Linked DNA regions of Drosophila melanogaster. The protein of the gene in region 2 interacts with the protein of the main gene of each other region in a pairwise test. Each region holds a gene or a part of one and is shown on either strand. Other genes may lie near its edges.

Region 1 (3,933 bases), on a different chromosome or scaffold from region 2:
CGAATCCCATTCTCAACACTTTGATTCGAATGGAGAAAGACTATCGGAATGGGAGAAAAATGAATCGACTTGCATATTTAATATTCAGTTGCTTTATGTTAGAAAACCATATGCAAATTAATAATAAAGCAGAACAACAAAGTAGCCAGCGAGGAGTCAACGTATTATTCAGATATTTTAATTTATAGCCGCCGCTTTGAAATTAGACGATCCGATCGCTAACATCGGGAAGTGGGAATGTGGTGATGTGGGGATGTTGGGAATATGTGTGAATAATGTGACCCGAACGGGTCCGTCGGCTGTCTTCTATTGTATCTAGTATTGATTTTCTTGGGGTTTCTTCGCCGTTGGCCCTATCATTTTGTTAGCCTTTTTTCTATATCACATTTCTCGTATCGATTTGGTCGGCTCTTGCTGGCTTCTTTTTGTTTTGCCTAATTAGGGGAGGCGGCCTTAATATGCCCATTAAAATTATGAAAATCATAACGAATCTCCGAAACGCGCATTTTCTCACATTACGATCAGCACATTAGTCATAGGCGGAAATTTCCTGACCGAAACCAGATTTTTAAAAAAAAGGCTCCATCATATCACGAAGAGCTGAAGGAACTGAAACAAAGTTTCGGGCATGGAATAGGTAACTCTATTGTTGGACTTGGGAGTCCCCGAAATCAATGAATAGTATTCCAATTAAAGACTTCTAAGATCCATTGAATCTGAAGCTAAATAAAGACTAGTATATGTGGCAAAATAATATCGGTTGATTATAGCATTTGGAAGAACATTTTAACCTTGTAAATATATGTAGAAGTGTAAGTGAAAAACAAAAGATCTGTCAAGTTCGGCTAATCGAAAATAGTGAACCAAACATATTATAACATATCTCTAAAGTCTGAGCTTTATAATGAAGAATGAAGATTGGCTCAAGAATAAAGTTGAAGCGATAACGAAAAAGAAAATAATTAAGCTTTACAGCGTGTTAGATCTTTCAATATTATTCCAAGTTTAAAGAGTGTATTTCAAATATGTCATAGATAATGTAAGACTTGTGACCTAATATCTCTGCTAAATAAACAAGTTGATAAGAGTAATCCCTAAGATAGATTCCCGCTCCCCCAAAAACTACTTAGGTCTACAGATTCCCCATGTAATCCGTGCTTATCTCTCGGCTCCACATTCCTTGCTGGATATATAGATTGCTACCGATTTCTCGATATCGGCGGATCGCACTCACCGAAAAAAAAACACAAACAAAACTAGAAGCAAAACGGTGCTGTATTCCAATGGTGACTTGTTTTCGGATCCAACTACTATATGGTTATGGCATGAGTATATTTTACACATGCATATATATAAAGATATATATGTATATTTATATATATATAAATATTGTATTCCAGAGATGTATGTTTTTTGGGCGATGTTTATGGTTTAGCACTGGCAACACGGTAAAAAAACAGATTCTCGTCACTTGGCACTGCGTTATATCCAAAAGGATATATCTCTCTGTATTACTTAGTATTCTCCTCTGGGGCTCTTTGTTTCTCTATAGCTGTGTTAGCTATAGCTTCTCGTGTTGATATTTGTTTATTTGTGTTTGATTGGTTTAGTTTGCTTCGATTTGATTTGATTCGGTTTGGCGACGGCGAATTGATTGTTGTTATTGGCTTGCGCTGGTGCTTGCTTGCTTATCGGCGAACGCGGCGAGTGGCGAGAGCGATCGAACGAGCGGCGAACGGGGCGAATGAGCAACTGAGCAACTGGGCGACGGACGACGCACAAAAACAACCCGAGCGGCACGAAAGTTACTCTGGAAATGAATTGCGGTACACCTTCCACGGACGATGGCAGCGGCGGCAGCAGCGCAGCGAGCAGCGGGCAGAGCAAAAGTCGTTCGACCAGAGTCTGCGAAAAAAGAAAAACAACAAGAAAAAATGTTGGAAGAAGAAGCAGGAAAAAAACAACAAACAAACACCAGCGGTGGTGGAAACGAGAGGGAGAGCGAGTGAGTGCCTGCTTTTAGCAATGGCTGCCCGGCTCTCTACCGCGCGCCAGAGTGAGATAGCCGTAGTTTCGCTCCGTTCCAGTCGTTCAGTATTTCGCTCTCTCTCTCTCTCTCACTCTCTTGCGGCATCTCTCTCGCACGCCGCTTACAACCTGACTGAGTGGGAGCGAGACAACTGCTGGTGGTACCGTTTGCTGAGCAGCTGTATTTACCGCTGTGTTGTTGCTGCTGCGCGTGTGTGTGCGCGCGTGTATGAGCGTGTGTGTACGTTGCTGGTGTGCGTTTGAGTGTGGGACCACACCCCAAAAAAATTCAGTTCAACAACTTTGTTGTTGCCACAAGAGCAAAAAACGAGGAGCAAAAAATACATAGTCATAAAAGGAGGAAAAAAAAGCAACAACGTACCTTCGTATTTTTGCGCGGCAGCAATGAAATTTTAATGAAAACGACAAGACAGCGAAAACAACGCAAAAATTTGTTAGCTAACAGCGAAAGATAAGGAAACGGGGGTAGGTGGCGACGGGCGTTTAAAGGACGCTGGTCAGTACCGCTACTTTTGCTACTGCTGCTGCTACTGCTGCTACTGCTTCTTCTTTAGCTTCCTCCTCTTCTACTTCTGCGTCGCAAATTGCCATGCACACACAACACCAGCGGCGAAAGCGCGACAGGGATGGGGAGAGCCAGCCACTCACACTTGGCACGCCCCCTCTCTTTCGCCCCAATGGGCGGCCCCCATTGTTCAATTATCATTTACGCAAAGTGAGGCGAAAAGAATCGAAACTTAAGGTGGATTTGGGTTTAAAGTCTAGTTTGCTATTCGTGGGCTAAGAATTGCTCAAAAGAGGTCTTTAATAAATGATTTCAATAGATATAGCTATTATAATTATGATTTAGTTTTGCAAAGCGGTTTTGTTAGTTTTAATTTTCAACTAGCTTATAATTATTAATTAGCTTATTTATAAATTCTCTACCATGGCAGTCTAACTGTAAATGATATTTTCGAGCAACCAACACTTTTTGTGCCCAAACATTTTTTTCTGTTATATTTTTGCCTTGTAGCTGACGCAGGAATAAAAATTCGCAGAGTTGGGTGGTTTGGGGGAGCAGCGGAAAAAACCTTATCAAATTTTTATGACAATTTGAAATAGCTGACGACAGTTGTTTGGCCATCTCACTCGCACTAACGGCCCGCAGGTTTGGGCGGCGAGAAAATGTTGCACAAATATTTTATGGATTTTTCTTGTTGAAATTGCTGTGTGCTTATTATTTTTTTTTTATCCAGCTACCGCACTTTTCCCATTTCCAGGCGGGCAAATTAAATTGTTGCGGCTAATTGATGTGTAGATGAAACATGAGGCAATTACCCTTCGAGGGGAAAAGCTTAGCGCACAAATTGGGACTCGGACACAACGAACGGGAAATCTCGAAAAAAAAATTGTACAGAGAGCCCGAAATGAAATAAAACAAAAACCTAATTTTCATGAAAAATGTTGCGGGGAAATGTAAAATGTTTTTGGAGTAAAATTCACGGAGGCAAAAACTGCGCGCAAATGAAAAAGTTTTAGTTAGACAAAAACTGTAATTTACTTACACAATTTACAAATAGTTAATTTAAACTTTCAATAGGAAGTTTGTTTTTTTTTTCACTTCAATTTCAATTGTGAAAAACCAAAATTGAAATAAGACTTTAACAATTATAGGTCTTATCTTTTGGAGTATATGTAAGTAACTAACGCGTAAATTTCATTACATACGAATAAAAACTACAACTGCCAACATGAAAATTGTATCTTTTTTAGTTCGGCCTTTTTCAGCGTCAGCGAATAAAAAACGCAAAGCAAGTAAAAAACCGATTTGAAAATGAAAATACTCAAAGTTGAGCGCACATATGTACACGTGGGTGTACTTTTGCCATCATTTTTTATTTT
Region 2 (3,040 bases):
CAAACGGTAGCCCAGATGAATGATCTGACCAGCAGCGAAGAGGAGACAATGGTTACCCAGGTGAACAGTCCATCGCCACCGCCGGTGGGTGTGGAACTTTTGCTTCCAATCTCCAGCGACAGTTCGACGGCCAGCAGTTCTCTGTACGCCATCCACACTCCGTCTCCGGCTCATCCCAGTGGTGTGCTCCTGATGCCCCAGAATTTGGAGTCACCGTTGCTGTCCGGCAGTGATGCCATCACAATCACCGAGCAGGTAGAGCTGCATAATCCGCCACACCATCTGCAGCTACTCGAGGATGAGAACAACACATCCTGTTCGCTGTCATCGAATCTGACGGATAGCAAGACCCTGGATGGTCGCACCCCAATCGTCGTCTGATGGCTTCCATCTCCAATCCCGTTCTGCTTAACTTGTGATTATGTTTACACAGTCTTAGAGCTACAACAAACAGTTAGCGAAAAATAAGCCGCTTAATGTTTAATATAGTCTTAAATAATGTTTGTGTGTATGTGTCTGTCAAAGTTGTTTAAATATTAAAGGCGTTTATGCGGTAAGTCAAATCATTTCGAACATCATTTCATTGCTTAAACTATTTCAAATGAAGCTTCCAATATTTATAGAAACCCAGAAATTTTAGCAAATATCCCACCAAATACATTTTTCAAATTTCTTAGAACTTTTACTTATTTTCTCAAATGAAACAATGATATATACATTTCTAAAATATCTTTTCACAAAACTATTTTATTTGTCGAACGCCTGTCTTAATTCACAATTCGAACATTGCCTCTTTTCACTTTTAAGAACGTTTCATCCTTAAACTTAAACTTTCCAGCCGCATAAACGCAAACTTCATGTGTAACCTTTTATTTTCGCTTTTTAGTCATATCCACCCAAATCATTATCCCATCATCCATGATCTCCATCGTTTTTGAAACAGCAGAAAAGTATCAACATTGAGCAAATTTTTCTCACTTCGTTCGGATCGACAGAAGGATGTTGTATAGAAGAAAGTAGGCAGCCAGTTGGTCTGATGGGTCTCATAGAGTCCATCGGAGCCCCTAGGGACTTGGCATTAATAAATCTCATTTAGCACTCATGCACCTAGCGAAATAAATTGCATTTTCCTTGTTCTCGTTGCACCCATTCATAGGACAAATATTATTTGCTTCGTAGCTAAATTTACATGATTTTCATGGTCATAATCTTAAAACAAAAAAAAAAACCTACAAATAGGCTTAGCACAGGAGTCGATTTTAGTGTACAAGATGAAAATATATACTGATATTATAAATGAATAAATTGACATTTTAGCGTACTAGTTTAAGCTGAAAAAGTGTTAACAGACGAGCGCAATTCTTCTTCGTAAAGTTGGGCAATACGTATAATGAAAGGTATTTAAAAACATAAAATAAACATACACATATAATATAACTGAATCCGAAACATTCAACTTTTATTGAGTAAGTTAAAGTTAAATTATTATATTGTAATGGAAACAATATGGCAAAATCAAAAACATCAAGAATAAATGTTATACAAATGAAGCAAGTGTGTTACTTTATTTTCCTTAAACTACAAGCACGCCCGGTCATTTTCATTCCGATTTGGATATACTTTCTAAGTTTATACAAATCCCCAAAATTTCACATTATGAGACAGCAGCTGCTGGACGAGGAGTTCGAGAATCTGCGTCGCGTAGCGCTGGCCATATGCGAGAATCTCGGGAGACCAAAAGATCGGGAGATATGTCGAAGCACTCTAGAAGATCTGGCCAAGTTCCGCCAGGGATCGTCGATTAGGATTAAGGAGAATGTGCATAAGTTCCTGATGTTCTATCTAAAAGTTCTGAGATGGTCGTACAAGAATCAGCCAACGGATCTATATCGCAAATGGGTTAATTACATTTTTCAGTTAAGTAGCGATCATTTAGTAAATGTTTCAATTTTTCAGTATGGACAAAACTTTGGCAAGGACCCAAAGTCTGCCCCATCGGCCGGCAATTCCGAGGATGAACAGCGTGTTTGGTTGGAGGAGGGCAAGTCCTTTTACGCCATGAAAACATTTGAAGATGGCTCCACAGTTGTTTACTCAGCGGTGGTTAAGGATGCGAGAGCTGGTTGGTCGGAAAATGGTCTGAAAACTCTGATGGAAACGCAAGTGGGCTGCGCTTTGAATCGAAATGAAAATTGAATTGTTTAATACTCTTAATATAGTATATATTTTCATATTCTGTGTGTACAATTTACTGGTTTTTCGATATGGTAGTGGTTATTCGGATATGGCAGGTAAATACTAGTAATAAATATGTCAAACGTAAGCATTTTCGGAATGGTCATTTTTTAAAAATCAAATGTAGTAAAATCATTTTGAAAACATGTTCATTAAGTTAACTATATAAAAAGTACAAGCGACATAGGAAATTTACAATTGTTTAACGTTACTTTTCATTTAAATATTTTAGCTAGTTTTGGTCTGTAAATTTACCTGCCTCTTGTTTGGATATTGTAGATAACTAATGTACCTATACGATTAAAATGTTTTCAACTTTTCGACTTAATTATAGGCAGGAAAAAGGTGGACGGAATGTGTTTTTGATATCAAAAGTCAATCCTAGCTTAGATATCATGTGGAGTGGCGAAAAGGCACTTATTGCGTGTTTCGTTTGTGGTGAGGATAAGCCTGGTTTTCCTATTAACTTCTAAATATTCTGGAGGCAACGCCAATCAACAGGAGTCCCAACAGAAGCTGCAGGGATCCGTGCATTTGAACTAAGCTGGAACCATTGCAGCTGTCGCTGGAGCAGTAGCACTCCTCCCAGTACACTCCGTTTTCGTAGACTCCCCAGTTACAGACGCCAACCACTCCGGTATCGGAAACGGATGCACATCGTCGGATCACCTGGCGCCAACGACCGTCCCCTGGAAAATATAATGTAATTATTAATTTGTACACACATATTTGCCAAGAGAGATAATCCATTGGACACCTATTGCTGCAATAGGCAATAATCACAGTCAAGGTAAAATGGTAACCA

The links.
Region 1: the proteins of CG17217 (region 2) and oc interact in a two-hybrid assay, tested with the Drosophila melanogaster proteins (one large-scale study listed by BioGRID).

What each region holds. Positions count from the first base shown.
Region 1 is NC_004354.4:8,648,860-8,652,792, forward strand, and holds the start of oc (ocelliless), read right to left. Parts: upstream 1,823-3,933; 5' UTR 1,516-1,822; exon of another isoform or gene 1,235-1,515; intron 1-1,234. UniProt on the Drosophila melanogaster protein: Transcriptional regulator involved in pattern formation and cell determination in the embryonic CNS and larval imaginal disks.
Region 2 is NT_033779.5:12,169,001-12,172,040, forward strand, and holds CG17217 (uncharacterized protein), read left to right. Parts: upstream 1-1,549; 5' UTR 1,550-1,656; coding exon 1,657-1,899; intron 1,900-1,956; coding exon 1,957-2,196; 3' UTR 2,197-2,232; downstream 2,233-3,040. Other genes in the region: CG6583 (uncharacterized protein), read right to left, coding at 2,698-2,924.